Saccharomyces cerevisiae S288C: one gene and its partners. The protein of the gene in region 1 binds, or shares a complex with, the protein of each later gene. Each region holds a gene or a part of one and is shown on either strand. Other genes may lie near its edges. The genes, in order: LEM3, DNF1, DRS2 and DNF3. A codon is read from its position in the direction of its gene.

Evidence for each region.
Region 2: the proteins of LEM3 (region 1) and DNF1 are in contact, whole or in part, in a cryo-EM structure (PDB 7WHV), measured with the Saccharomyces cerevisiae proteins. Residues at the interface, in NP_014076.1 of Saccharomyces cerevisiae: Asn50 (codon at 1,697), Arg51 (codon at 1,700), Arg52 (codon at 1,703), Pro53 (codon at 1,706), Lys54 (codon at 1,709), Glu55 (codon at 1,712), Phe58 (codon at 1,721), Thr59 (codon at 1,724), Gln60 (codon at 1,727), Gln61 (codon at 1,730), Arg62 (codon at 1,733), Leu63 (codon at 1,736), Ala64 (codon at 1,739), Ala65 (codon at 1,742), Ile66 (codon at 1,745), Asn67 (codon at 1,748), Pro68 (codon at 1,751), Val69 (codon at 1,754), Leu70 (codon at 1,757), Thr71 (codon at 1,760), Pro72 (codon at 1,763), Val75 (codon at 1,772), Leu78 (codon at 1,781), Tyr79 (codon at 1,784), Ile82 (codon at 1,793), Phe86 (codon at 1,805), Ile93 (codon at 1,826), Glu102 (codon at 1,853), Tyr174 (codon at 2,069), Asn176 (codon at 2,075); in NP_011093.3 of Saccharomyces cerevisiae: Ile234 (codon at 3,504), Thr238 (codon at 3,516), Asn239 (codon at 3,519), Tyr574 (codon at 4,524), Gly579 (codon at 4,539), Arg580 (codon at 4,542), Ser581 (codon at 4,545), Ser584 (codon at 4,554), Tyr585 (codon at 4,557), Glu586 (codon at 4,560), Phe587 (codon at 4,563), Val604 (codon at 4,614), Phe631 (codon at 4,695), Tyr633 (codon at 4,701), Gly634 (codon at 4,704), Asp635 (codon at 4,707), Val636 (codon at 4,710), Leu637 (codon at 4,713), Tyr639 (codon at 4,719), Asp644 (codon at 4,734), Pro646 (codon at 4,740), Arg1171 (codon at 6,315), His1176 (codon at 6,330), Trp1179 (codon at 6,339), Arg1183 (codon at 6,351), Tyr1205 (codon at 6,417), Tyr1208 (codon at 6,426), Asn1209 (codon at 6,429), Asp1210 (codon at 6,432), Asp1212 (codon at 6,438).
Region 3: LEM3 (region 1) and DRS2 share a complex: the UniProt entries of both Saccharomyces cerevisiae proteins name them as parts of the flippase complex.
Region 4: LEM3 (region 1) and DNF3 share a complex: the UniProt entries of both Saccharomyces cerevisiae proteins name them as parts of the flippase complex.

The regions. Positions count from the first base shown.
Region 1 is NC_001146.8:30,395-35,579, forward strand, and holds LEM3 (Lem3p), read left to right. Parts: upstream 1-1,549; coding exon 1,550-2,794; downstream 2,795-5,185. Other genes in the region: FIG4 (phosphatidylinositol-3,5-bisphosphate 5-phosphatase), read right to left, coding at 1-984; KRE1 (Kre1p), read right to left, coding at 2,900-3,841; VNX1 (calcium/hydrogen antiporter), read left to right, coding at 4,302-5,185. UniProt on the Saccharomyces cerevisiae protein: Accessory component of a P4-ATPase flippase complex which catalyzes the hydrolysis of ATP coupled to the transport of glucosylceramide, phosphatidylcholine, phosphatidylethanolamine, and small amounts of phosphatidylserine from the lumenal to the cytosolic leaflet of the cell membrane and ensures the maintenance of asymmetric distribution of phospholipids.
Region 2 is NC_001137.3:509,940-518,577, forward strand, and holds DNF1 (aminophospholipid-translocating P4-type ATPase DNF1), read left to right. Parts: upstream 1-2,804; coding exon 2,805-7,520; downstream 7,521-8,638. Other genes in the region: PAB1 (polyadenylate-binding protein), read left to right, coding at 434-2,167; BCK2 (Bck2p), read left to right, coding at 8,277-8,638. UniProt on the Saccharomyces cerevisiae protein: Catalytic component of a P4-ATPase flippase complex which catalyzes the hydrolysis of ATP coupled to the transport of glucosylceramide, phosphatidylcholine, phosphatidylethanolamine, and small amounts of phosphatidylserine from the lumenal to the cytosolic leaflet of the cell membrane and ensures the maintenance of asymmetric distribution of phospholipids.
Region 3 is NC_001133.9:93,239-101,346, reverse strand, and holds DRS2 (aminophospholipid-translocating P4-type ATPase DRS2), read left to right. Parts: upstream 1-1,649; coding exon 1,650-5,717; downstream 5,718-8,108. Other genes in the region: ribosome biosynthesis protein MAK16, read left to right, coding at 202-1,122; DNA-binding protein SAW1, read right to left, coding at 5,875-6,660; FRT2 (Frt2p), read right to left, coding at 6,861-8,108. UniProt on the Saccharomyces cerevisiae protein: Catalytic component of a P4-ATPase flippase complex which catalyzes the hydrolysis of ATP coupled to the transport of phosphatidylserine and small amounts of ethanolamine from the lumen to the cytosolic leaflet of the trans-Golgi network and ensures the maintenance of asymmetric distribution of phospholipids.
Region 4 is NC_001145.3:577,248-586,393, forward strand, and holds DNF3 (aminophospholipid-translocating P4-type ATPase DNF3), read right to left. Parts: upstream 6,675-9,146; coding exon 1,704-6,674; downstream 1-1,703. Other genes in the region: CVM1 (Cvm1p), read left to right, coding at 1-269; type I HSP40 co-chaperone HLJ1, read left to right, coding at 471-1,145; INP2 (Inp2p), read right to left, coding at 7,024-9,141. UniProt on the Saccharomyces cerevisiae protein: Catalytic component of a P4-ATPase flippase complex which catalyzes the hydrolysis of ATP coupled to the transport of phosphatidylcholine and small amounts of phosphatidylethanolamine from the lumen to the cytosolic leaflet of the trans-Golgi network and ensures the maintenance of asymmetric distribution of phospholipids.

The DNA of each region.
Region 1 (5,185 bases):
GGGGATTGAGCCACGATGCTGTACAAAAGAAGTGTATCGATCACTATCAAAAAATCCATTTCCCGGTTGATGGAATGGAGTCAAAATCATATCTGTTACAATCTGTTCAGTTTCGACTTCGTTAGCAACATGACCTTTATTGTTAACACCACGCTTTAGAAAGCGTGCACCAGCAAAATGGTGGGATCTTCTTGCGATTAAAGTAATATATATGGACTTACCCAAAACTGAAACATTAACCTGGTCAATAAATCCATGTATAATGCATTGGAACCAATCAAAAACAGTGTCAATACAAGCAAAAATAGGAGATAATAAATTGTTATTCCAAACAAACATTTCGTTATAGTCGGTTATCCCGCAAGGTATTGTAATATCACATCGGTCAACCGCTTTTAATTTCTCTCGCAATATATTGGTTTGTAAAGTATTTGTGATATCGTAGGTATAACTGAAATAAAAGGTTTTTGTTAGGTCTAAATCCTTAAATATATTCAATAGCCTTGCCTCATCTGAACTTTTTTCAGGTTTTTTATAGTTGTTCGTAATAGGAATAATATCAATACCATCAATGTGATAAATACCATGACCGCCAATCACTGCAACTTGGCTATACTTGGTAACCATTATTAAATAGTACCAACAGGTGAATTTAATGAATCCCAGAAGACCGTATCCTGTAATTTTCTTATGTAGACCATCTTCAGTTGCTTCTTCTAAACTTGCTAGTACATTCATGATTTCATTTCTGGTGAAGAAGACATTATCCTCCAACACAGTTAATTCTCCACGGGGTACAGTAAGATCAATTTCTAGAATACGAAACATGGTTTCCCTTTTATTGCTTCCAACAATATACATTCGATCTTTGGTTTCGTATAACGTATATTTACCCATTACAAACTTAGAGGTCTTTCTCTGCTTAGACCCAGATGTGGTAAGTATACCTCCACCAAGGGTATGCTCCATTGCATCATTGTTCATCCTTGTCCTGTTTCTTTTTTGCTTTGCGTTACGTTACTACGTTTCAAAACTAATTAATTTCAAATAATATCACAGCATTTACATTTCAATAGTGCTCGGCTAAGTAGATGAGGACTATCGTAAAGAGACCAATAGAAGAGCTTGAAAACTTTACAAGAAATATATACATGTATATATTATATATATATGTTTAATGCAATTGCAAGAGGTATTAACAAATCAGGAGGACAAGTAAATGAACGTGCTGCAATAAACCCAAATGGCGTAACGAGTGTAGTGCGCCTTAGTGACCACCGCAAGATAGTGCCAGTAACTAGTGTACAAGTGTGGCAAAATGCAAATGAGCGTTCTGGTAGTATGTGTCCAATGTTGTAGTGTCAACTTTGTCTGCCGTTCTGGTGGCTTTTGACAGTTGATTTTCCAACGATTATTATTATGCGCGAAATTAAAGAAAAGGAATCTTGTATGATGATAAAATAAATAGATCAAATTAAATCATCAGTACAGACCAGAAAACAATTAAGTGTCCTTTTAGAAATACGAGAGGGTGGTAAAATATTGAAGAATGGTAAATTTCGATTTGGGCCAAGTTGGTGAAGTATTCCGTAGAAAGGACAAAGGAGCTATAGTGTCCGGAGACAACCCAGAAGAAGAAGAAGACGTCGATGCTTCTGAGTTTGAAGAGGATGAAGTAAAGCCTGTGCGTACAAAGAACAGAAGACCCAAAGAGGATGCATTCACTCAACAAAGATTAGCGGCTATAAACCCGGTGTTAACGCCGAGGACAGTTTTGCCTCTTTATCTGTTAATTGCTGTTGTATTTGTTATTGTAGGAGGGTGCATATTAGCACAGAACTCCAAAGTGGATGAAGTAACCATATATTACCAGGACTGTATGACTAACGCAACCTCATCATGGAGCGACATCCCTTCTGAACATTGGCAATTTGTATTTCACAAATATAAAACATATAATACTGCACCACAATGGAGGTTTGTGGATGATGAATCAGATGACTTCACAAAACAAAGAGGTACATGCCAAATCAGGTTCACTACTCCAAGTGATATGAAAAATAACGTATATTTGAATTATGTGCTGGAAAAATTTGCTGCCAATCACAGAAGATATGTACTATCTTTTAGCGAAGATCAGATACGTGGGGAGGACGCCTCTTATGAGACGGTGCATGATGCAACCGGTATAAATTGTAAGCCACTATCTAAGAACGCCGATGGTAAAATATACTATCCATGTGGCCTAATTGCGAACTCAATGTTCAACGACACGTTCCCCCTGCAGTTAACAAATGTAGGGGATACGTCTAACAACTATTCATTGACAAATAAAGGAATCAATTGGGAATCTGATAAAAAAAGGTACAAAAAAACCAAATACAATTATACACAGATAGCACCTCCACCATATTGGGAAAAGATGTATCCAGATGGATACAACGAGACGAATATTCCTGATATTCAGGATTGGGAAGAGTTCCAAAACTGGATGAGGCCAGGTGCTTTTGATAAAATTACAAAACTGATCAGAATCAATAAAAACGATACTTTGCCAGCGGGTGAATACCAGTTGGATATCGGTCTGCATTGGCCAGTATTGGAGTTTAATGGTAAGAAGGGAATCTACTTGACTCACGGTTCTCACCTTGGCGGTAGAAATCCATTTTTAGGTATAGTTTACCTGATTGGAGGCTGTATTTGTGCTGCCATGGCATTGATATTATTAACGTTTTGGCTCTTCGGCGGTAGAAAGATTGCTGATGCATCAAGTTTGTCATGGAATATGAAATAGAAAAGGAGTGATGGTTTTCTTTATTTTTAACCCTGTAAAATTTTTTTATTTTTTTATTTTTACTCTTATATATGTATATGTTTGTGTTTATTTCTGAATAAAAATTTATAAGAACCAAATTAAAACCGTTAATAGCCCACCCAAAATTGAAGTAAACGAACTCATACCTAGATGCTGGGCCTCATTATGCGAAACTGTTTTCTTTATTGCAGATTTAATAACGCCTACAGTACCGGTTAAAGTACCCATCCCAATAGACCCCACGGAGGGAGAAGCGACTGTTACGTACTGGGAGGAGAAACGCTGGACAAAAGTAGTTTGCACAGTGATAGTGTTGCCCTGTCTAACAACAGTGACCCACATGGACGTTGGCGCACGTGTGGTTGTGTAAGTGGAGGTTGTACCTTCAGTGATGGTAATGTATGAGTCAATAGATAGACTAGTGACAGCAGACACAGGAGGTTCTGTGAAGTCTGTGGAGGGGTCTGGCCTGGTGCCTGTTTCAGCTACTGCGCTCCCTGTCGATGTGGTCGTCTTTACACTGGAGGATGAACCAGACGAAGATACAGACGAGGACACAGACGAGGAGGCGGATGAAGTAGCACTGGTGCTAGAATGTGTGAACGTTTGAGTCAATGTAACTGTGGTACCCAAATCGTTTGTCGTGGTAACTGTAGATAAATACAGTCCCGAAGACAACGATGAAGTTGCGGTAGGAACAGTGGTGGTTGTCTTACCAGTAGATGAGGTAGAAGTCGTCGTGGTTGGTAGCATAGTGGCTCTGTTGACTGTCTGAGTAAGAGTGACGGTGGTTCCGACATCGTTAGTGGTAGTGAATACCGTAGTGAAGAAACCTGTTTGAGCGGTAGTTGTAGCAGCAGCAGCAGCGGTGGCAGGGTCCCATATTGTGGTCTCCGTAACCAGGGCCCCTGCGACATTTGTTACCACTGTAACCTGAGTTGTCACAGCTGCCATGACCGCAGCTGACCACAACGACAAAGAAAGTAGCAGCGTAGCGAATGAATGTAATAGCGTGCGACGCATCATTTTTTTTTTGATTGTCTTGCAGAAGTTGAAGAGGTCTTTACTGTAGCATATACAAGTGCTTAATTCTTGATTTTTATTTTCTTTTTTTCATAATACACGTTATAGAAAAAGCCCCATTCTCAGTTTATGAAAAAACGCGATATCACCATACACGCTGAGGTAGGGGGATACAAGGTGAAGAATGTACGCAATAAGGCGAAGTATATGGCACAATTGAGCAGTAAAAGTGTTAAAATATAGTGATATATATATATAAAATACGAGAGTACCAACTATTATGATCTTTTAATGCCCTCTTTCCGTTGAGATATTCATAATAGTAACCGTCACGGAACTGTCGCTTTATACGGTGAGGGGATTATTTAGTTCCTAATTTATATTAGATAAAGAAGATAATAAACATGAGGGATGCTGTAAATGAAAGTGAAATAACTGCTAGCTAGAAGAGCGGTAAGCAGCAATGGCCAAAAATAACCACATTTCTGCCAGTGGTAACAGTACCTCTGGAGACCATCGTCTTAAAGAGGAGGTTCTGACCCCAACTACATCTGCCTCGACTCCTCATAGAATATTTAGCGTGGACGATGATCCAAAGGAGATCCAAAACGATATCAGGTATCTTGAGGGTCTGCATGAAGGGTTGAAGTTCGCCCTGCATGCCAATAAATCCAAGCGATCTGTAAGCTCGCAATCACCAATCGTACATAGCAGCAACAACACGCTGCACCACCACGAGCACCAACAACACTTGCCGCCCACACTAGAGTCGCTATCCTCCAAGTCGCACTCTGTGCCAGACTTAAATACAGCTACTCCCAGCTCTCCGAAACGAATGCATTCATCTATCCGGGAATTACCTCATGATGACAATGATGACGAGGACGCCAATGATGACAGTCGGTTCATTATACACGACTCGCACGGCCATGATTTACTTATAGACGAGATCAATTGCCAGTCGCCTTCACACTTGGAAAACAATGACCAGGCGTCTAATGCTTCGTCCACAGAGTCATTCACTTTACGAGAAAGACAGGACGCCATCAACGAGACCCACCCCTTCGGTATCAGGATATGGAAGCCTGCTTTATATAAGAAACACCGTTCAGTTCAAAGAACCGCGGCGCAAGACATTCACGAGACTCAGTTGAAGACTATTACCTGGGAGGTGACTTGTTCCAATGTGCTATGGTTTATTTTGTTCGGTTTCCCCATTGCGATACTCTTCTACTCGGCGGCTATTGTGGTATTTTTACTAGGCGGCGGAGGACTGGTAACGAACTCTGCGAAGGAGTACTCCAAGTGTCTGTATAAACTCGCCAATTATTTCCTTTGGCCTTTTGG
Region 2 (8,638 bases), on another chromosome or scaffold:
TATAAGAGGTCATACTGTATGAAGCCACAAAGCAGATAGATCAATCATGTTTAACGAAAACTGTTAATCGAAGATTATTTCTTTTTTTTTTTCTCTTTCCTTTTTACAAAGAAAATTTTTTTTGCGCTTTTTGCCATCACCATCGCAAGTTCTGGGACAATTGTTCTCTTTCGCTCCAGTTCCAAGGAAAGAGGTTTCTGTTTTACTTAATAGAAAGTGTCATCTTGTATTTTATATCTCTTCTTTCTTGTGTAAAATTCTTTAGTTTTGATTTTGTATTTTTAGGACAGTGAGCTACGAAGTAACATTTTTACTTAATAACCGTTTGAAGCATAGAGCAGGCCCTGGTACCACCACCTAATATCTGGCTTTTTATTCAATAAAAACTCAAAAAAAAAAATCCAAAAAAAACTAAAAAACCAATAAAAATAAAATGGCTGATATTACTGATAAGACAGCTGAACAATTGGAAAACTTGAATATTCAAGATGACCAAAAGCAAGCCGCCACTGGTTCAGAAAGCCAATCTGTTGAAAACTCTTCTGCATCATTATATGTTGGTGACTTAGAACCTTCTGTTTCCGAAGCCCACTTATATGATATCTTCTCTCCAATCGGTTCAGTCTCCTCCATTCGTGTCTGTCGTGATGCCATCACTAAGACCTCTTTGGGCTATGCTTATGTTAACTTTAACGACCATGAAGCCGGCAGAAAAGCAATTGAGCAATTGAACTACACTCCAATCAAGGGTAGATTATGCCGTATTATGTGGTCTCAACGTGACCCATCATTGAGAAAGAAGGGTTCTGGTAACATCTTTATCAAGAACTTGCACCCTGATATTGACAACAAGGCTTTGTATGACACTTTCTCTGTGTTTGGTGACATCTTGTCCAGCAAGATTGCCACCGACGAAAACGGAAAATCCAAGGGTTTTGGGTTTGTTCACTTCGAAGAAGAAGGTGCTGCCAAGGAAGCTATTGATGCTTTGAATGGTATGCTGTTGAACGGTCAAGAAATTTATGTTGCTCCTCACTTGTCCAGAAAGGAACGTGACTCTCAATTGGAAGAGACTAAGGCACATTACACTAACCTTTATGTGAAAAACATCAACTCCGAAACTACTGACGAACAATTCCAAGAATTGTTTGCCAAATTTGGTCCAATTGTTTCTGCCTCTTTGGAAAAGGATGCTGATGGAAAATTGAAGGGTTTCGGGTTTGTTAACTACGAAAAGCATGAAGACGCTGTGAAAGCTGTTGAAGCTTTGAATGACTCTGAACTAAATGGAGAAAAGTTATACGTTGGTCGTGCCCAAAAGAAGAATGAACGTATGCATGTCTTGAAGAAGCAATACGAAGCTTACAGATTGGAAAAAATGGCCAAGTACCAAGGTGTTAATTTGTTTGTTAAGAACTTAGATGACAGCGTTGATGACGAAAAGTTGGAAGAAGAATTTGCTCCATATGGTACTATCACTTCTGCAAAGGTTATGAGAACCGAAAACGGTAAGTCTAAGGGTTTTGGTTTTGTTTGTTTCTCAACTCCAGAGGAAGCTACTAAGGCCATTACAGAAAAGAACCAACAAATTGTTGCTGGTAAGCCATTATACGTTGCCATTGCTCAAAGAAAAGACGTAAGACGTTCTCAATTGGCTCAACAAATCCAAGCCAGAAATCAAATGAGATACCAGCAAGCTACTGCTGCCGCTGCCGCCGCCGCTGCCGGTATGCCAGGTCAATTCATGCCTCCAATGTTCTATGGTGTTATGCCACCAAGAGGTGTTCCATTCAACGGTCCAAACCCACAACAAATGAACCCAATGGGCGGTATGCCAAAGAACGGCATGCCACCTCAATTTAGAAATGGTCCGGTTTACGGCGTCCCCCCACAAGGTGGTTTCCCAAGAAATGCCAACGATAACAACCAATTTTATCAACAAAAGCAAAGACAAGCTTTGGGTGAACAATTATACAAGAAGGTTTCTGCTAAGACTTCAAATGAAGAAGCAGCTGGTAAAATTACTGGTATGATTTTGGATTTGCCACCTCAAGAGGTCTTCCCATTGTTGGAAAGTGATGAATTGTTCGAACAACACTACAAAGAAGCTTCTGCTGCCTATGAGTCTTTCAAAAAGGAGCAAGAACAACAAACTGAGCAAGCTTAATGCTCTATGTAATCACCTACTTCCCTACTCAACAAACTTATCATCTTTTTTTTCTCCCTTCCCTTTTTTTTTTGTCTTAAATACTAGTTATTATCCTTTGTAACCTAAATACTCGCTCTTATTGACAAAATGCAAACGTTTTTTGTTTTTAACTGTCAAGAGAAGTATCATTTTACTATTATTAGACTTCATTACTGAGTTTATTAGTTGCGTTTTTTTGAGGTCTCATTATTAACGGCAGAATGTTAGTTTTCGCGGAAAATAAACAAAATAGCACGGAAAAAAGACCAACAGGTTCCAGGAAAATACTAATTTACAAAAAATTGACAAATCAAGTGAGGGTACCTTGCTATTCATCACCGCATTCAACTAACTGGAGGTACAAAGCTGATAAAATTTCACAGAGCAAAGTCTCACTTAGCTTTTACTTTATGAAATTTGACCTTTAATAACCGAAGGTCATCGTAATACGCAACTCAGACAGTTTTAAGTGGATTTTTAGGGTCGCAATTAAAAACACTCAAAAATTAACCGGAGGTTGAGCAAGGGAAAGCAACCGTAACAGAAATCCTTTATTTCCTCCTGGAAGTGAAATAAAAACGCAGTTAACTTTAAAAAGGAAAGTTAGTTGATAATTATGTCTGGAACTTTTCATGGCGATGGGCATGCTCCCATGTCGCCCTTTGAAGATACATTTCAATTTGAAGATAATAGCAGTAATGAAGATACACATATTGCACCTACCCATTTTGATGATGGTGCAACAAGCAACAAATACAGCCGGCCACAGGTCAGCTTCAATGATGAAACACCCAAAAATAAACGTGAAGATGCAGAAGAATTCACATTTAACGATGACACAGAATATGACAATCATTCCTTTCAGCCAACACCGAAACTTAATAATGGATCTGGGACGTTTGATGATGTGGAATTAGACAATGATAGTGGTGAACCGCACACTAACTACGATGGTATGAAAAGATTCCGGATGGGTACAAAAAGGAATAAAAAAGGAAACCCAATAATGGGAAGATCTAAGACCTTGAAATGGGCTAGGAAGAACATTCCAAACCCATTTGAAGACTTTACGAAGGATGATATTGACCCTGGTGCCATAAATCGTGCGCAAGAACTAAGGACTGTGTATTACAATATGCCCTTACCAAAAGATATGATAGATGAAGAAGGCAACCCCATTATGCAGTATCCTCGTAATAAAATCAGAACTACCAAATATACCCCGTTAACATTCTTACCAAAAAACATTCTATTTCAGTTTCATAATTTCGCCAACGTTTATTTCTTAGTTTTAATAATTTTAGGTGCATTTCAAATTTTTGGTGTCACGAACCCTGGTTTAAGTGCGGTTCCGTTAGTTGTCATTGTTATAATCACTGCGATCAAGGATGCTATTGAAGACTCAAGAAGAACCGTCCTAGATTTAGAGGTGAATAATACCAAGACACATATTTTAGAAGGTGTTGAGAACGAAAATGTCTCAACCGATAATATTTCATTGTGGAGAAGGTTTAAGAAAGCAAACTCTAGACTCCTTTTCAAGTTTATACAATATTGTAAAGAACATTTAACTGAAGAGGGCAAAAAGAAGAGAATGCAGAGAAAGCGTCATGAACTAAGAGTACAAAAAACTGTTGGAACGAGTGGACCCAGATCCTCTCTAGACTCCATTGACAGTTACAGAGTATCTGCAGATTATGGCCGTCCTTCATTGGATTATGATAATTTGGAACAAGGGGCCGGTGAAGCCAATATAGTTGATAGATCCCTACCACCCAGAACTGATTGTAAATTTGCCAAGAATTATTGGAAAGGTGTCAAGGTTGGTGATATTGTTCGTATCCATAACAATGATGAAATCCCTGCTGACATTATCTTACTTTCAACGTCGGATACAGATGGTGCCTGCTACGTAGAAACTAAAAATTTGGATGGTGAAACAAACTTAAAGGTACGCCAATCCTTGAAGTGTACCAATACTATAAGAACGTCAAAAGATATTGCTAGAACAAAATTCTGGATCGAAAGTGAAGGGCCCCACTCAAATTTGTACACTTATCAAGGTAATATGAAATGGAGAAATCTTGCAGATGGCGAGATACGAAATGAGCCAATTACTATTAATAACGTTCTGCTTCGTGGTTGCACTCTTAGAAATACTAAGTGGGCAATGGGTGTTGTAATGTTTACCGGTGGTGACACAAAAATCATGTTAAACTCTGGCATTACACCCACCAAGAAGTCCAGGATTTCAAGAGAACTAAACTTCTCTGTGGTGATAAATTTCGTGCTACTTTTCATCTTATGTTTTGTTTCTGGTATTGCAAATGGTGTATATTACGACAAAAAAGGCAGATCACGGTTTTCCTATGAATTTGGAACAATTGCTGGGTCAGCGGCGACAAACGGTTTCGTCTCATTTTGGGTTGCTGTTATTCTTTACCAATCTTTAGTCCCAATCTCTTTGTACATTTCTGTGGAGATCATCAAAACTGCACAAGCGGCCTTCATTTACGGAGACGTTTTACTCTACAATGCCAAATTGGATTATCCTTGTACACCAAAATCCTGGAATATTTCTGACGATTTAGGTCAAGTGGAATATATATTTTCTGATAAAACAGGTACATTAACTCAAAATGTAATGGAGTTTAAAAAATGTACTATCAATGGTGTTTCATATGGAAGAGCTTACACCGAAGCGTTAGCGGGATTAAGAAAAAGACAAGGTATCGACGTCGAAACCGAAGGTAGGCGTGAGAAGGCCGAAATTGCCAAGGATAGGGATACAATGATCGATGAACTGAGAGCTTTATCAGGAAATTCACAATTTTATCCCGAAGAAGTTACCTTTGTATCAAAGGAGTTCGTTCGCGATTTGAAAGGGGCTAGTGGTGAAGTACAACAAAGATGCTGTGAGCACTTTATGTTAGCATTAGCTTTATGTCACTCCGTCCTTGTAGAAGCAAACCCGGACAATCCAAAAAAACTGGATTTAAAAGCTCAATCTCCAGACGAAGCAGCGTTAGTAGCCACAGCTAGAGATGTAGGATTCAGTTTTGTTGGAAAAACCAAAAAAGGGTTGATAATTGAAATGCAAGGTATTCAAAAAGAATTTGAGATTCTAAATATTTTGGAGTTTAATTCATCGAGAAAAAGAATGTCCTGTATTGTCAAAATTCCGGGTCTGAACCCAGGGGACGAGCCTAGAGCACTTTTAATTTGTAAAGGTGCAGATTCCATTATATACTCAAGATTAAGTCGCCAGAGTGGTAGCAATAGTGAAGCTATTTTGGAAAAAACTGCTTTGCATTTAGAGCAGTACGCTACTGAAGGTTTAAGAACGTTATGCATAGCTCAAAGGGAGTTAAGTTGGTCTGAATACGAAAAATGGAACGAAAAGTACGATATTGCTGCTGCATCATTAGCAAACAGAGAGGATGAATTAGAAGTTGTTGCAGATTCCATTGAACGCGAATTGATATTATTGGGCGGTACAGCTATCGAAGATCGTTTACAAGATGGTGTTCCGGATTGTATAGAGTTGCTTGCAGAGGCAGGAATTAAATTATGGGTTCTTACGGGTGATAAAGTTGAAACAGCTATAAACATTGGATTTTCTTGCAACCTTTTGAATAATGAAATGGAATTGTTAGTTATTAAAACAACTGGTGATGACGTGAAAGAATTCGGATCAGAACCAAGTGAAATTGTGGATGCTTTACTCTCCAAATACTTGAAGGAGTATTTCAACTTAACCGGTTCAGAAGAAGAGATTTTTGAAGCTAAAAAGGATCACGAATTTCCGAAGGGTAATTACGCCATCGTTATCGATGGTGATGCTTTGAAATTGGCGCTATATGGTGAAGATATAAGAAGAAAGTTTCTTTTACTCTGCAAGAATTGTAGAGCTGTCTTATGCTGTAGAGTATCTCCATCTCAAAAAGCAGCCGTTGTTAAGTTAGTCAAGGATTCTCTAGATGTCATGACACTAGCCATCGGCGATGGTTCCAACGACGTCGCCATGATTCAATCTGCGGATGTTGGTATTGGTATTGCCGGTGAAGAAGGTCGACAAGCTGTTATGTGCTCAGACTACGCCATTGGACAATTCAGATATTTGGCTAGATTGGTCCTCGTTCACGGTAGGTGGTCTTATAAGAGACTGGCAGAAATGATTCCTGAGTTTTTTTACAAAAACATGATTTTTGCTTTGGCATTGTTCTGGTATGGTATCTATAATGATTTTGATGGGTCTTACCTGTATGAATACACATACATGATGTTCTATAATTTGGCATTTACATCCCTACCAGTCATCTTCTTAGGTATTCTGGACCAGGACGTGAATGACACAATATCATTAGTGGTCCCTCAGTTATACCGTGTTGGAATTTTAAGGAAAGAATGGAACCAAAGAAAGTTCTTATGGTATATGTTGGACGGATTATATCAGTCTATTATCTGTTTTTTTTTCCCTTACTTGGTTTATCACAAAAATATGATAGTTACGAGCAATGGGTTAGGATTGGATCATCGTTATTTTGTCGGTGTTTATGTGACCACTATTGCTGTAATTTCGTGTAACACATATGTTTTATTACACCAATATAGATGGGATTGGTTTAGTGGATTATTCATTGCACTGTCTTGCCTCGTAGTTTTTGCATGGACGGGAATATGGTCTTCTGCGATAGCTAGTAGAGAATTTTTCAAAGCTGCAGCGCGTATCTATGGAGCACCTTCATTTTGGGCTGTTTTCTTTGTTGCCGTGCTGTTCTGCTTACTGCCCCGTTTCACATATGACAGTTTTCAAAAATTTTTCTACCCAACTGATGTGGAAATAGTAAGAGAGATGTGGCAACATGGCCATTTCGATCATTATCCTCCTGGTTACGATCCAACAGATCCCAACAGACCCAAGGTCACAAAAGCTGGGCAACACGGAGAGAAGATTATAGAAGGCATAGCACTTTCCGACAACTTAGGAGGATCGAACTATTCAAGGGATAGTGTTGTCACAGAGGAGATTCCAATGACTTTCATGCACGGTGAAGATGGAAGTCCTAGCGGATATCAGAAGCAAGAAACCTGGATGACTTCACCCAAGGAAACACAAGATCTTCTTCAATCGCCCCAATTTCAGCAGGCCCAAACGTTCGGAAGAGGCCCATCAACCAACGTCAGGTCATCCTTGGACCGCACAAGAGAACAGATGATCGCCACTAACCAACTAGATAACCGCTACTCTGTGGAAAGAGCGAGAACATCTCTAGATCTACCAGGCGTAACTAACGCAGCCTCCTTAATCGGAACACAACAGAACAATTAATAATGATATCCGAACCATAGCTGATGGAACTCCGCTTTTCACTGTATATATAATATTACATAATATTACTGGATAAGCCTTAGAAGCCTTAGAAGCCTTAGAAGCCTTGGAATTCATGCATACTACAGCGTTAACTCTTTCTTTTAGCAAGTTTTAGTAGCGGACGTGTGGGTTTCTTTGTTCTATAATTAACACTCCCGGTTAACCCGGATCGCTATTATTCAAGGACGCACAATGGTGGGCTAATTTTTTCTTCCGATGGAAAACTGACGCCAGCACTTTCCAGCGCTGGGAACTCTCCACTAACTGGCAAAAAAATTGATTAAGGTCATGATCAAAGGAATTTTTGAAATGTTGTAAAGTAGAGTTAAGAATTAATCAAGCCGTGATACGTATGTTTTTGACTAGGTGAGAGACTATATTTATCAAAAATAGTTTTTTATACTAACAGAAAGTTTATTATATCATAGAAATCCTAGGCCTATTGTTATTATTTGCGTGAAAAAAGGTTCATGCCTAGTTATTCAGGATATTAATCAGGCATAGTCATAGTTTTGTAATACACGTCTTTCACTCCTATTTCCGGTTAACATTCGCTAATATCCATCAAATTATTGACTTTTTTTTCAGTGGATTTGTTGTTAATAAAGGAAACAATCAGATCAGCCATTTAGGGAAGTCTTTTAAGAAAGCTCAGAAGGAGATCTAAGACAAGAAGCAAGGCAGTCTTGATTTATCGCTCAAAACCAATAGCACATGCCGAAGAATAGTCACCACCATCGTTCCAGTTCGGTTAATTCCACAAAGAGTCGTTCTACGGAATCTACGAATAAATGGAAAATTCCGCACTATTATCGCAGATCCGCTAGCGGCAGCACACAAGCTTCGCCGGACAGGAACTCCTCAACAGGCTCATGTAGCACTCCAGTATTACCTACTATGAATGTTATGTCTAGCCCGAAAAAAGTTTTGCTAGAGGATCCCAGAGACAACCATACTAAGGCGAAGAAGAGTAGTAGAAAGAAATCAGGTGAAATGGTCTTCGTCAATTATACTGTACAGGACACGGCTAACGAAAATGATACTGACTTGCAAACCCAGCCGGTTTCTGTGCCAGC
Region 3 (8,108 bases), on another chromosome or scaffold:
CATTATGTTCAGATTATCAAAATGCAGTAGGGTAATAAACCTTTTTTTTTTTTTTTTTTTTTTTTGAAAAATTTTCCGATGAGCTTTTGAAAAAAAATGAAAAAGTGATTGGTATAGAGGCAGATATTGCATTGCTTAGTTCTTTCTTTTGACAGTGTTCTCTTCAGTACATAACTACAACGGTTAGAATACAACGAGGATATGTCCGACGAAATTGTTTGGCAAGTGATTAATCAAAGTTTCTGCTCTCATAGAATTAAGGCACCTAATGGTCAAAATTTTTGCAGAAATGAGTATAACGTCACTGGGTTGTGTACAAGGCAATCATGCCCACTTGCCAACTCCAAGTATGCAACAGTGAAGTGTGACAATGGGAAACTGTACTTGTATATGAAGACGCCTGAAAGAGCGCACACTCCTGCCAAGTTATGGGAAAGAATCAAACTATCCAAAAATTACACGAAGGCTTTACAACAGATCGACGAACACCTACTACATTGGAGCAAGTTTTTCCGTCATAAGTGTAAACAGAGATTTACAAAATTGACGCAGGTCATGATAACAGAGAGACGTTTAGCATTAAGGGAGGAGGAGAGACACTACGTTGGTGTAGCACCAAAGGTCAAAAGAAGAGAACAAAACAGGGAGAGAAAGGCATTGGTAGCTGCCAAGATTGAAAAAGCCATCGAAAAAGAATTGATGGACAGATTAAAGAGTGGTGCTTACGGTGATAAACCATTAAATGTTGACGAAAAGGTCTGGAAGAAGATAATGGGTCAAATGGAAGAGGAGAATTCTCAGGACGAGGAAGAAGACTGGGATGAAGAAGAGGAAAGTGATGATGGGGAAGTTGAATACGTTGCAGATGATGGCGAAGGTGAATACGTTGACGTGGATGACTTAGAAAAGTGGTTAGCTGACTCTGACAGAGAAGCTTCCAGCGCCAGTGAAAGCGAAAGCGACAGTGAAAGCGAGAGCGACAGCGATAGTGATGAAGAAAATAAGAATTCAGCCAAGAGACGTAAGAAGGGAACTAGTGCCAAAACTAAACGTCCTAAAGTCGAAATCGAATACGAGGAGGAACACGAAGTTCAAAATGCTGAGCAAGAAGTGGCACAATAAGCTCACGCACTATACTACGCAACATTACATGATTTCAGTTTCTATTATTGAATGAACAGGATTTTTCCACGTGGATTGGGCAGCGCACTGTACCATAATAACAACCAGTTATAAAATATTTCAATTCTTTTACATATATAAAAATACATAAAGACTATTATTTTTGTAAGATGGCCCATTCTGTAACACTTAAATTTCTTATCAAAAAAAAAAAAAATAATACCTTTAGTAGCTGTTGGGCTAATAACATTGCAAATTAGAAGCTTACTATTAGAAGCTTACTATTACGGGATTATTGAGGTAAAGGTTATTTGAAGCGTAAATCACTGAAATCTTCCTGATCACGTGATTGGCTTTTTTTGCCAGAAAACCCAAATCTGTTTAATGCCACTAAGTTGAAGAAACATATAATCAACAATTGTTGGCAATTCTAAGGGGAATAGTGCAACAAGAAGCCAGTAACGCCAAATAGAGGTTAGCGCCAAGCAATAATTTACTGGTAGGTTCTTTCATTCCCTGATTTTACCATGAATGACGACAGAGAAACCCCCCCAAAGAGGAAACCTGGGGAGGACGACACGCTTTTCGATATTGACTTCTTAGACGACACGACTTCTCATTCTGGATCCCGTTCAAAGGTCACCAACTCACATGCGAACGCGAATTATATACCACCAAGTCATGTACTTCCCGAAGAGACTATCGACTTAGACGCTGATGATGATAACATTGAAAATGATGTCCATGAAAATCTATTTATGAGCAATAACCATGACGACCAAACGTCTTGGAATGCCAATAGATTCGACTCAGATGCATATCAACCACAATCCCTACGAGCAGTCAAGCCTCCCGGTTTATTTGCTAGGTTTGGTAATGGTCTCAAAAATGCCTTTACGTTCAAACGGAAGAAAGGGCCCGAAAGTTTCGAAATGAATCATTACAATGCGGTGACTAATAACGAATTAGACGATAATTATCTAGACTCGAGGAATAAGTTCAACATTAAAATTCTTTTCAACCGGTACATTTTAAGAAAGAACGTTGGCGACGCAGAGGGCAATGGTGAACCAAGAGTCATCCACATCAACGATTCTCTCGCTAATTCCTCCTTCGGTTATAGTGACAACCATATATCTACCACCAAGTATAATTTTGCGACCTTTCTGCCTAAATTTTTGTTCCAAGAATTTTCCAAATACGCTAATCTGTTTTTTTTATGTACATCTGCCATTCAACAGGTGCCTCACGTCTCGCCAACTAATAGATACACCACAATTGGTACTTTATTAGTGGTTTTGATTGTTTCTGCCATGAAGGAATGTATCGAAGATATCAAGAGAGCTAATTCTGATAAAGAATTAAATAATTCGACAGCAGAAATATTTTCAGAAGCACATGATGACTTTGTTGAGAAACGATGGATTGATATTCGTGTAGGTGACATAATTAGAGTAAAATCAGAGGAACCTATTCCTGCTGATACCATAATTTTGTCATCTTCGGAACCGGAGGGTCTTTGCTACATTGAAACTGCCAACTTGGATGGTGAAACAAATTTGAAAATCAAACAGTCGAGAGTAGAAACTGCCAAATTTATAGACGTTAAAACTTTGAAGAACATGAACGGAAAAGTTGTTTCCGAACAGCCGAACTCTAGCTTGTATACTTATGAAGGTACAATGACTTTAAATGATCGTCAAATACCGTTATCTCCTGACCAAATGATTTTAAGAGGTGCAACTTTAAGAAATACTGCATGGATATTTGGTTTAGTTATCTTCACTGGTCATGAAACTAAGTTATTGCGTAATGCTACTGCAACCCCAATTAAAAGAACCGCGGTTGAGAAAATTATCAACAGACAGATTATTGCATTGTTCACAGTTTTAATCGTGCTAATTTTAATTTCTTCAATTGGTAATGTTATTATGTCTACTGCAGATGCCAAACATTTATCGTACCTTTACCTGGAGGGTACCAACAAGGCTGGCTTATTCTTCAAAGACTTTTTAACATTTTGGATTCTATTTTCGAATCTAGTTCCTATTTCTCTATTTGTCACCGTTGAATTAATCAAATATTATCAGGCTTTTATGATAGGTTCAGATCTAGATTTGTACTACGAAAAAACTGATACCCCAACTGTGGTTCGTACATCCTCTTTGGTTGAAGAACTTGGTCAAATAGAATATATATTCAGTGACAAGACAGGAACTTTAACAAGAAATATTATGGAATTTAAATCCTGCTCTATTGCAGGCCATTGCTATATTGATAAAATACCTGAAGATAAAACGGCCACTGTTGAAGATGGGATTGAAGTTGGTTATAGAAAATTTGACGATTTGAAGAAAAAGTTAAATGATCCCTCTGATGAGGATTCACCTATTATCAATGACTTCTTAACATTACTGGCTACCTGTCATACTGTCATTCCAGAATTTCAAAGCGATGGATCTATTAAATATCAAGCAGCCTCTCCAGATGAAGGTGCCCTCGTTCAAGGTGGTGCAGATTTAGGGTATAAGTTTATCATCCGTAAACCAAACTCTGTAACTGTTTTATTGGAGGAAACTGGCGAGGAAAAAGAGTATCAACTACTTAACATTTGTGAATTTAATTCCACCAGGAAGAGAATGAGCGCTATATTTAGATTTCCGGATGGTTCGATAAAGTTATTCTGTAAAGGTGCTGATACTGTCATTCTGGAAAGATTGGATGATGAAGCTAATCAATATGTAGAAGCTACAATGAGACATTTAGAAGATTATGCATCTGAGGGTTTGCGGACGTTGTGTTTGGCGATGAGAGATATCTCTGAAGGAGAATATGAAGAATGGAATAGCATTTATAATGAGGCTGCCACAACATTAGATAACAGAGCCGAGAAGCTAGACGAAGCCGCAAATCTAATCGAGAAAAATCTAATATTAATTGGTGCAACTGCTATTGAAGATAAGTTACAGGACGGTGTTCCAGAAACTATCCACACATTACAAGAAGCGGGTATTAAAATTTGGGTTTTAACTGGTGACAGACAGGAAACTGCTATTAACATTGGTATGAGTTGCCGTTTATTGAGTGAAGACATGAATTTGTTGATCATCAACGAGGAAACCAGAGATGATACTGAGAGAAATTTGTTAGAGAAGATTAACGCTCTAAACGAGCATCAATTGTCAACACATGATATGAATACCTTAGCGCTCGTCATTGATGGGAAGTCATTAGGCTTTGCCTTGGAACCAGAATTAGAAGATTATTTGCTAACTGTGGCGAAGCTTTGTAAAGCGGTTATATGTTGCCGTGTATCTCCACTACAGAAAGCCTTGGTTGTTAAAATGGTAAAAAGAAAGTCGTCTTCACTACTGCTAGCCATTGGCGATGGTGCCAACGATGTTAGTATGATACAGGCAGCTCATGTTGGTGTCGGTATTAGTGGTATGGAAGGTATGCAAGCGGCTCGTTCAGCTGATATAGCTGTTGGCCAATTTAAATTTTTAAAAAAACTATTACTTGTCCATGGCTCCTGGTCTTATCAAAGAATTTCTGTCGCAATTTTGTACTCTTTTTACAAGAATACAGCATTATACATGACGCAGTTTTGGTACGTTTTTGCCAATGCCTTTTCAGGTCAATCCATTATGGAATCATGGACAATGAGTTTCTACAACTTATTCTTCACTGTTTGGCCCCCTTTTGTCATTGGTGTATTTGATCAATTTGTTAGTAGTAGATTACTTGAGCGGTACCCACAATTGTACAAATTAGGACAGAAGGGTCAATTTTTCTCTGTTTACATCTTCTGGGGATGGATTATTAATGGCTTTTTCCATTCTGCAATAGTATTTATTGGCACCATATTGATTTACAGATATGGGTTTGCCTTAAATATGCACGGCGAACTAGCTGATCATTGGTCTTGGGGTGTAACTGTCTACACTACAAGTGTCATTATTGTTTTGGGAAAGGCTGCTTTGGTAACTAATCAATGGACGAAATTCACCTTAATTGCCATTCCTGGTTCCCTCTTATTTTGGTTAATATTCTTCCCAATTTATGCTTCTATATTTCCTCATGCTAACATCTCAAGAGAGTATTATGGTGTGGTTAAACACACGTATGGATCCGGTGTATTTTGGTTAACTTTGATCGTTTTACCAATTTTTGCACTGGTAAGAGATTTTCTATGGAAGTACTATAAAAGAATGTATGAACCAGAAACGTATCATGTTATTCAAGAAATGCAGAAATACAATATCAGCGACTCTAGGCCGCACGTTCAGCAATTTCAAAATGCCATCAGGAAGGTGAGGCAAGTGCAAAGAATGAAAAAACAAAGAGGATTTGCCTTTTCACAGGCTGAAGAGGGTGGGCAAGAAAAAATTGTCAGAATGTATGATACTACTCAAAAGAGAGGTAAGTACGGTGAATTACAAGATGCTTCGGCGAACCCCTTTAATGACAATAATGGACTGGGAAGTAACGACTTTGAAAGTGCAGAACCGTTCATTGAAAATCCATTTGCTGATGGTAATCAAAATTCAAATAGATTCAGTTCTTCGAGAGATGATATTTCATTTGATATATGAGGCACAGAAACAAAGAGCAGAAGACAAAAAATACAAAAATAAAAATAAGATAAAAAGAAAAGTCATTATTACCATTACTGAAATATGTACATTTACCATAAAATATATCCGTTATATAGAAGTTATAATATTAAGCCATCACTTTGTTATCGGTTTTTCATTCCTCCTGGGGTTGCTTCGACTGGGTACGTACCTTATGTCTTCTAGGCCTATGCAACACATGTACATCAATAATTTCACCTAAATTAATAACAGGCTTGTACATAAATTCTATTACAGGTTTTATATCCTCTTCCACCGGTGTATCCAGGGCATCAGCGTCCCCATTTTCTATTAACAAATTAGGTACCTGGGGCTGTTTTTCTATTTTCCTAGCTAATAACGTTTTGGGTCCTGCATTTAATGAGAAACCGTTTAATGTTAATGTTTGAAACATCAAATAGTGCCTTAAATTGGCGATCTTCTTAATGCTGTTGATGAATATGTCGAGCTCCCACTTATGTTTGTAGTGCAACTTGTATTTGAATTTAGCCAGCCTTGTCACAGACTGGATGTGAGAAGTTACCGCATTATCCGTATCGGCACCTGCAAAAAGTTTGGGCAGAACGTTGATTTGGAAATCAGTAGAATGACCAACTCTTATTTTGCTGAGTACGGAACTGATGATTTCCGGGGACGCTAGTTCGTAAACAATCAATAACAGGTCCTCCTTGATCTCGTCACAAAGATTCTTCTTATCTTGTTGCGATAAATATATTCTTGTATTTGGTGATTTTAAGCAGATTATGGAGTTATTTGATAATAATGGTGCTTCAAATATAGTGGCATTCGACTTATTGCTAGTCTTATCATTGGTTTGAAGGATCTGCTTTCTATTGACAAATATACGTAATGGCAAAACCATGTCCCTGGCTATCTTTACCGTTGCTATACTTGGTGCCATTTTTCACGGTTACTGTGAAGTCCAATATACTCAATCTTCTTGTATTCTTCCCTTTCAGGCCTGTCCTTTTCTATTTCATTGCCCTTTTTTCCACTCATCTTTCCACTTGATTAAAAATACCAGAAGAAGCACATTTTTACATTTATACGTTACATATGAAAAAATCACAGGATCATTTTTTGATATACAAATACTATTTTTTATTTATGCGATACTAGATGCTTGAAGGTATAGCATATGACGATGATGATAATTAAAAAGACAATATCAAGGGCCTCGTTGCGGTATTTAGATGCGAATGTTACATTTTTTTTGGATATCATTAAGGAATTCTCCAAAGACAATAAACTTTCCATTTTCCTCATTACTTCCTTCCTAGAGGCCAACCTGTCTTTGCAAGAAGCCATTCTTTTCTCTAAATCTTGTAATTTTGCCACGTTTGTATTTATTGTATCACTCAAACGTGCCTCAAATGATTCGGGGTTTTCCTTGTCAAAATCCTGTTTCAAATTCATTAAATAATCCTCTTCAACAAGCTCTTTCCATCCAATGGTCCTGGATCTTAAGTCCCTTAGCTCTTTAACGATCTTGTCAAAATTTGCAATGTTTTTAACAAGGTCATTTTCATCTTTCAGAACCTCATCTTTCAAACTGTGCTTTAGTAAAGCTTCTGTCTGCTGTAACTGCAATCCGATATGACGCTGATAGTAGTCTAATTCATCTGAATTTAGCGAAAGATTCGAACTACTATATGTGATATTTCCAGGAGGTTCAAGAGGATCAACAGCCACTGACTGTGAGAATGACGTCGATGATGAAGACGATGAAGAAGAAGACAACGAAGATGAGGACGACTGCGAAAACGATGCATTGCAGGCGTCTTTTGGCGAAAGCCCAATGGGATTAGCAACGGCAGGAGAGGATTCGGAAGCTACAGAGGGCGGTCTTGAGGGCGAAACATGTTTCTTTGGTGAGCTTTCAAGATCATGGTAAAGCAAGCTCTGTAACGATATATCTGTCTGCGTGCTAGAACTCCCGTCTGATGAATGCGAATGATGTGTGGGTCGCTTGGAAGGCTTAGATATAACATTGGGCAATATTGGATCGAAAGCCGGCGCCAGTGCAGACGAATCCTTAGATTGCCCAGACGAAGAAGGCTCCATGGATTTCAAAAACCGGTGAACCAACCTTTTCTTGTCCTTCACGAAGGACCGGGAAGGTGATTTAAGACCGTACTTGTCGTTGTCTTTGTAATGGCGATGGGCTGGGTGCTGCTGGGCTTGCAACATCTTAAATGAGGGAAAATGGTCTTTGGCAGAGTATCCACCATCGAGAGGCTTTGATTCTACACTATGCTGCGGGAATGGTCCTTTAAAGGTGGCGACTACGTTAAATGGGTGTTTTGGCGAGAGTCCAGAAGACTTCATCGTACTGAGACTTCGTACTTT
Region 4 (9,146 bases), on another chromosome or scaffold:
AATTGAAAAATTTACCGCAGCGAGAGATACCACATGCGTTGAGGCTCTCCATCTCATTAAACTGCTTCTTGGATAGTACCACGAGTACTTCTGGCCCTGTTTTTCAGAGGGACACCGTGGAAGCTTTGAGAAGATTAACAGAGATTTGGCGAACTTACCAGGATTGGTCTCCACCAACAAGGGGTTTGAAACACCTACGTGATATCCTGAGCGTTTTAGCCATGTATGACAACCCCAAAAACTTGATTAATGATGTTCGACGTACATAGTAGATTCGTATATAGCGGACCGCGTAACATATTATGGTATTTGTATAGTGGGTAACCCGCAGAGTAGGCTGGAAAGTATTCGTGAAGAACATAAAGGAAGCTGGCAGAAGTTCTTTTCATACACCTCTACTTCCAGAAGCCATAATAGCAGCAACGCTGTTTCTGCAATATAACTTGTGGAAGGTCTATAATAGGAAGAACATGTCTTTCACTGAGGATCAAGAAAAAATCGCGCTAGAAATACTGTCAAAAGACAAGCATGAGTTTTACGAAATTTTGAAGGTAGATAGGAAAGCCACAGATAGTGAGATCAAGAAGGCATACAGAAAACTAGCAATCAAATTGCATCCTGATAAAAACTCTCATCCAAAAGCGGGAGAAGCTTTCAAAGTAATTAATAGGGCATTTGAAGTACTAAGCAATGAGGAAAAGCGCAGTATTTATGACAGGATAGGTAGGGATCCTGACGATAGACAAATGCCATCCAGAGGTGCTGCTTCAGGGTTCCGAGGAAGTGCAGGTGGGTCTCCAATGGGTGGCGGATTTGAAGACATGTTTTTCAATTCACGTTTCGGTGGTCAAAGAGCTGGACCACCAGAGGACATATTCGACTTTTTGTTCAACGCAGGCGGCAGCCCATTCGGCGCTTCACCATTTGGGCCTTCTGCTTCCACTTTTTCATTTGGAGGCCCCGGTGGTTTCAGAGTTTATACTAATAATCGTGGTGGCTCACCGTTCATGCGTCAACAACCCCGCTCAAGACAGCAGCAACAACAAGCAGAAGAAAATGCAGTGAATTCGCAATTAAAAAATATGCTCGTTCTTTTCATCATCTTTATTGTTCTTCCTATGATTAAAGATTACCTGTTTAGTTAAACACAATATTTTTACTGTCATTTTTTTATTATTTTCCAACGTTAGTCAAAGTTGTACTATAAAATAAAACTACAAGGAGCAAGCAAAATTGAAAAAACGCATTTGTATACTAGATGACATTTAGGTCATTCCTTCAGGCTTCCTGGCTATGTTTTATTTTGTTCCACAGTTTACCAGAAGGACATAATGGTATTAGAATTTTAATATATCGAGGAAATTAAATCAGACAGTATAATACTTATAAACATCTTTATTTTCTGATAACTAATCATAGCATTTACGCCATACATTTACTTTTTCTTTTGACACCGAAAGTAATCAAGCCACTTTTATAATTAGAGTTAGTTTATAGATAGTATTTAAAATTTGTGAAGATTTCCCATGCGTTGTGCCTTGCTTTCTCTCAAAATACATCTTGTTAATTTTCTAATGTGTGGATGCCGAAATAATATTCGACTCAACAAATCAAGTAAGTCTTCTAAGCTCGCTACTAATTTCCAATAAAAGGTATATATATAAAAATGTTCTCAATAATGTAATTAAACAAGATCACGAGAATTACTCCAGATCCTTTAGCCTTGCCTGAATAATCTGGTTCACATCTTCATCTTCCACATTCCTCGATGGAAGCTTCAGTTTCTTCGTCAGTTTAGTAGTTATATTGCCGCCAATACTGTCTTTACTGCTTTGTGTTTTCAAGGATGGTCGCTTGATTAACTTGCCACTAGGTAATACCTCGTATCGTTCAGAGCTCTTTTTAGAAGAGTTTCCAAAGAAATTTTTTTTTGAGGAATGGTCTACATTCCCATTTGACATTGAATATATGCTGCTGTTATGAGTTTTTGCACTTGCACGTGAATTAGTTCTTGGCCTTGAAAGAACTTTGTCTGTGTACCTTGTGAAAGTACTGGGATCTTTATCCCACGTCCATCCTTGCCTCATTTCGCTATAGGCTCCTAGTTCCAGCTTCTTTCTGATATCACTTTTTTGTTCCAGCTCAGCAAAAATATCAGAATCTGATGGCCATATCATAACTTTGAATGTTTTGTAAACTATATCTAAAGTGATAGGTAACAGTGCCAACACCAAGCTAGTACACCAGAATGTAATGTCTTTACCAAAATGATTGTAAAAGCCATATGCTACATCATATATTTGGTCAGTATTATTCAAAATAGGAAGGGCACAACACCACACTAACCAACCTCCACAGGATAGAACTACAGAAGTAAAAGCCAGCCAATTCCTATTGTGCATTTCAACAAATTGGGATTTAACGTTAATTAAGGCAACAATGGCTGTGAAATTGATGAGACCTAGAGGATACATAGTGTTATCTGAAAGAGAACTCATACCCCACATTACAACATTTAAAAATGTAATGATAAGAGAATTCGTAGTTGCCAAGATAACCCACTCCATGAATATTAACCAATTAAAACCTTGTGAAAGGCGCCCGTACGAATATAATTCAGGGACTGTTAGTAGAGTCATTGGTTTCAAGTCTTTCTCAAACATACCAATACATAGAACCGGTAGTGATGTGAATAGAGTATTGAACATGGACAATGACCATGGCTCATATAGAGAGGAGCCTGAAAACATTGTATATCTTTGATATATCAACTGCGTAAAGTAAAACGTAATTTCTTTGTAAAACGTGCAAAGCATAAACTTGGAGGTGCGAATATAGTTATAACGCCCATGAACAAATAACAATTTCAAGAGAAACCGAAATTGGCCAATAGAATAATCAGATACTCTAGATGCTTGCAATCCCTCCTTACCGGCTATTCCAACACCTATATCGGCAGATTGTATCATGGCAATATCATTCGCACCATCACCTATTGCCAACGTGACTAAGTTTGGATCGGTATTTCTTATGTTGGAAACCATAAGGGCTTTTTGAGAAGGTGAAGCACGGCAACATATTACCGAGTCTGTTTTAGTGCAAAGCTCAACAAATACAGACATGTATGTAGGATTTCCTTCAAACATGGCCATCGTGGCACCGTCAATTACAACAACGCAGTGTGCTATGTTTCCGGAATCAACTTCTTGAGAAACCGCATTCATCTTTGATATAATATTTTCATCAGTAGTAGTTAAAATGACTACCGTAGAATAATCTTTGATTAACATACACGAATACCCTATATTTATAGCCGTTTCCCTTTTATCCCCTGTTAGCATCCACATTTTTATACCGGCTCTTCTGATCTTTTCTATAGCTTCTGAAACGCCGTCTTGTAACTTGTCTTCGATTGCAGTTACCCCTAACAGATTTAAACCATCCTCGATTTCTGCACCTGCCTCATCGACTTTGATTTTTCTATCAGTAAGGGAGGTTTTGGCTTGGTGATAGCGTTTATTCCAATTTTCATACTGCCCAATATCGATCCATTTGTAAGCATAGACCAGAGTTCTTAAGCCTTCAGTCGAAAACTCATCGATGGCTTGCAAAGTTCTTTCAATAACATACTCTTCATTCAAAATTAACTCATCGCTTCCAATGTGCTCCAAAATTTCTGTATCGTAATCATGCTGTAGTCCTTCTTTTCTTGTGTCTATTGGGACATTGTTGTTCGGAAAATGTGTTCCATCTATCGAAATTCGCGGCCCATATTTTTCTATTTGTTGCTTATGGAGTGACTTCCTGCTTTTATTTACAACGCTGCCAATCTCCTGATCAGATTTCTTGACCGTTTCTAGAAATTGATCAATGGAGTCAATTTGTTTCTCTGGATCACGGGTCCTGCTGTTCTTCATTGAAAGACTTTTTCTCACTGCCTGCAATGATAAACTTGCTCTCGGTACGCTAGACAAAGAATTTCTCAATGAGGTCCTGGCCATAGCCTCTTCATCTACCATTCTTTCCAGAGACTTTCTTTGCTGGAGAACCAGCTCTGCTTCTGCGTCTTTACGTTCTTTGGTACTGGTGCATATGTCTGCCATTTTTTTGGCAGCCAATTCGCGATCATGTAAACGCTCCATAATAACGTTATCAGCACCTTTGCAAATTAAAAGAACTTGATTTGGTTGATTTGGCATACGTACAAGAACAGACATTCTCTTTCTTTGAGAATTGAAGTCAATATAGTTCAAAATTTCATAATTTTCCAATTTTGCTTCACCGTCAAAACCGTCTGGAAAAGTTTTAATGGTCAAAATCTGTGCATTTCTATTCAATACAATATAACCAAGGTCTCTAGCAGCGGTTACTAGTGCTAATTCATCTGGAGATGAAGACTGATACTCTATGGAGTCTTCTCCTATTGATTCGTTATGAGTTTTTTTGGGAAGACAGCTATGACAAAGAGCTAATGATAAGAAGAAAAATTTAGCCTTTTGAGAAAACAGGGCGGTCGGATATCTTTGAATAAACTGAATTAAATCAAACGAACTTTTAATGTTCTCCGAAAATGTCTCGGAGGGTGAAATAACCGAAGCTTGTTTACTTAGATGTGAATTATCTTTCCCAAAAAGTGATCTCATACTGGGACGGCCTGTATAAATTGCTGATGAATTTCCCTTATATTCAATAGAATTCCTAGATTTAGGAAAGTTGTCCAAAGATGGACGATGCCCTTTTTCAATTGGTGCGTCCGAAAATCCTAACCGATCAAGAACATTTTGATCTCCAATGGAAACAACGTCTATACTAGAGCCGTTGTGAGCTTTTGGTGGTAGTCTCAAGGAGTTCGTATTGTCTCTGTTGTCTTCAAAGTTATCCTCAGAATTACCGAGATCTACATTATGCAGCCAAGATGATCCACATAAAGAAAATTTCCGAAATATCATCTTATTATCCGTCAGCGTTCCGGTTTTATCACTAAAAATATAAGATACTTGCCCCAATTCCTCCAGAATGGTGGCAGTTCTCGATTCGCATGGCGTGTTCGTTTCTGCATGGTACATGTCTATGTCCCATTCCATCATTTTACTTTGGACTACCTTGATAATTTCCATTGTTACATATAGGGACAAAGGAATCACAGTGTTATACATGATGATAAAAGACATTATTGTGGGTGCTACGCCAGCATCTGCCTGAAATAGATACCATGCTTTGTTCTGGTCGATATATTTTTTCTTATGCAAAACATGGCCAAGATAAGAAAATAAAGATATTGTGGCAACGACAAACACCATAAACACGATAATCATATTTATCTTCCTTTGTAGCTTAGGGGCTTTCGTTCTTGGGTTTTTTAAAGCATTCATTCTGATTTTTGTTTCCTCACCACTGAAAATGACCATACCAACAACATTTTGAGTATTCCTCAAAATACTACCACGATAAATGACATTATCAGGACCTAGAGGGTATTTCATTATGGTATCATTGCGATGGTTTTTCAATTCAAGATTACCTTCAAAATTATATAAATCAATATTGGGATCTTCCACGGTAACTTGAGCATTAATATTTGCAAGACCTGATGCGGCTTTGGTTAACTTATTTAATTCTGGATGGGGTTGTTTACTTTTCAAATTTGTTTCGCCATCTAAAGCCATCGTTTCAACGAAACATTCGCTATTTTCGCCGTCACATGTCAATAAAAGCAGATCTGCAGGTACCCAATCATCTTGTGTGAGAAGTACGAAGTCTCCAACACGAAGTTTTTCCCACTTCTTTTGATGAATATGAACATTGTATTTATTCTTGAGTAGTTCAAAGTTATTGAAGTGCGTGTCTAAGAAGTGTCCTTGAGAGGAGTTCCGATCATCGTTTAAAGGTGGATTATTTTCAGCAGCGGCCGATTTAGTTAGATATGCAGTGGATGAGACAACACTACTTGGTAGTGTATAAACTTCTTGTGCGTCATTATTTCCATCTTTAACCAACACTCCCACTGGTTTATTGTTCTCTTCCTTATCTAAACGATGTCTCCTGAAATCGTCCCAAGCCTCTCTTGTCATGGATATACCCATAAATACACATAAGGGGATAATAGTTGTATAAGTACCAGTTGTAGACCATCCAGGTATCATTTGTAATACTGCGACAATGAAAAAATAAGTATTGGCTAACTTTGAAAATTGTGCATACAACTGTCTAGGCAAAAAGGAATAGAATGTATATCTTGATGAAGTTATTCGGTTGTCGCAGTAAGGCTTGTTGAACCTTTCGTCTATCAAATGACCATCCCTTTTAGTAGCAGCTTGTTTGTATTCAATTGCATTATGATCTAATATAATCGGAATATGTCTACCGTCTTTCGAATGGAACGTCCTCCTTCGATCTAGGATAGTATCAAGTATTTTAGTGATAATGCTATATGACACATCAGGACTACCATACTCTTCCATTTCATAATCCTCTTCAGCAGCATAATTGCCGCTTGTTTCATCTCTGTCATCTTTATCGTTATTATCGCTACCGGAGAACGTCTTACTCTCATTTATATCTTCTAACTCTATCTCATCATCAGTTCTTCCGCGATATTTATCATACAAATGCTTGTTGAACATCTGCGTTCGTAGTGATGAAGATCTTCTTCTTTGCCCATCAGCTATGCCCATAATATTTTTTTCTTTTTAATAAAGAATGGAATTAAATTATCTACTTCAATTAGGATGTTTATTTGCTGTATGGAAGCTATGTGTATATAACGATAAAGGTCAAATAAAAGAAATAACAAAAAAGAAAAGAGTGAATGAATAGTCCAAAAGCAATGGGGTAATTTGGCACTTGATCTTTTCTCAAGACTTCCTGCAATATTGAATTCTTCTTTGTTAAATATTCGCTTACTTAAAGCACTTGACAGACTGGGGTCGAAAATAACCCGGCTGCGCAGCCCGTCATTTGCTTATTTAGAAAATATGATTAAAGTGTAATTAGTTATTTCAAAGTACATATTAAAATATATTATCATGAATCATTTCCTAGTAATCCTTTTAATTCATACAAAAATGGGATAGTTTCTTCCGAAGATACTTTGCATTTGCTGAGAGGCCTGCTCTCAAGAAAGGCATCGTCTCTTAATGGTTTTTGAAAGCCAAACTTTACGGACATGGAAGCCTGAGCTTTTCTTAGCAATTCAAAGGACTTTGCAGTTCTTAGCCTTTCCCTGCCTTCACGGTTTTCTTGAGCCAATTTCAAAATTCTTTCATCTAACTTGCGTCGTAATTCGTTGTCAGAAAGTTGCTTGAAATCTGGTTTCCTACAACTATCCTTTCCGATAAAATCTACGCGGTGATTTTGGCGTGAACCGGCAGAACATTCCTCCTGACAGTCGTAGTCTTCATATTCCTCTAGTTCGGTGTCGTTTTCAAAAGAGTCATTCACCGATTCAGCAACATCAATGAAGTCAACTTTCCTCTCTAAGCTAAGACCTTGTACTGACGAAGAACGGGGTGACTTTCTGCCTTTGAGGATATCCAGATGGAAACCATGGTTGATTGTATTGGTTGGGGATACCTTTTGTATCCTAGAAATATTGCCACAAATTTTCGAGGTTTTCCAGAAAGTAATGAGCTCCTCCAACTTATCCTCAATGATGTTCCTATCATTCTCTGTTATGCCATTTCGAATGTCAATAGCTAATAGATTGTTCTCGATCATTTTTAAGTAATTAAGTGCCTGAAACAATTTATCATTCTTTGAAAATGAACATACATTTGCTCTTTCACAACCAGTATTAGTTGATGTTTCTTCAGGAAATGCATACAATATTTGCTTATGGTCATTCAAAGACACCAGGACAGTGGAGAGTAGTGAATGTAATCCTCTTAATAGACTAACTATATTTTGGAATGTACCTATTGGATTATATTTTTTTTTGAGTTGCACCCTTGCCATGTAATCTGGAAAGATTTTGTTTAGTGCGTTTCTCATGTTTACATTTGAAAGATTTTCGTTTCCTGTCATATCTAAAGACAGCAAACAACAGAGCATAAATTTCTTTAGCAGTTTGAGACGATAAAGCTTACCATCAAGGTCTTTTACTGTGGTAGTATTATTATAGTAAAGATTTGGTACATCGATACCGTATAATTCACAGTATTTCGATAGCTCACTTGTATCGCTAAAGATGACAATATCTGGAATGATTGATTTGAGTTTATAAAACAGTGCATCACTTGAGAATACTAGGAGCTCTTTTATCACAGATGAGTGCTCGTCAGCAATTGAAATAAGAGACACTCTTGATATAAAACTATGATTTTTTATTTCTTTAAATCGAAGATGATATTTATGAATCATTACATCCACTTGTTGTAATGATTCGAGCACTTTCCGTACCTTTAATAAGGTTTTATAGCAAATCAAATGTCTTCGAAAGTATTCTTGCTGAATTGATAAATACACTGCTACGAGTATTAAAATTACAACTCTCTTCAGACCTGGACTATTTTTTTTTCTACAGTATTTTTTCAACTGTGTAAGTACTCGATAAGAGGTTATAATCATCGAAAGGTAGTTGAAATTTTGTCTGAAATATAATTTTTTGTCCTCTGCTACCGCCAATTTACCATATTTTGTCGCCATAAATGGTACAGATTTGGGAGGTACATTCTTTAACAAAGTTGAGCTTTTATGAAAGTTCATAATAGATTGATCAAGATGTAGTGATAACCTGTAATGATTCATATCATTCAAAAAATGAGAAGTAATGATTGAATACCGAAATTCTTCAAAGAATTGGTGTGTTACACCGAATGGCTGTTGCATGAAAATTCTTGAAATAATATCATCCCAATTAAAAAACTTCGTTGTTTTTCCTACGGTTATAGGTGAAAAAGTACAGTCATTAGATCCCACAATTGTAGGGGAGTATTCATGTAATACGCTGCGGCTGCTTAATAGGGACGGTTTTCGCCACGTAGAGTAAAATTCTTGACGATTGTTCTCGGTGACACCTATTATGTTATCACTATCAAGGGTTAGACTAGAACTCATGAATCCATCCTCTTCGCTTGATTTCAGCATGGAAAAAATCTGTAAACCGGGAGCCTGCAAGGCGGATGGACGTGAGTTTGTTGTCATTATTA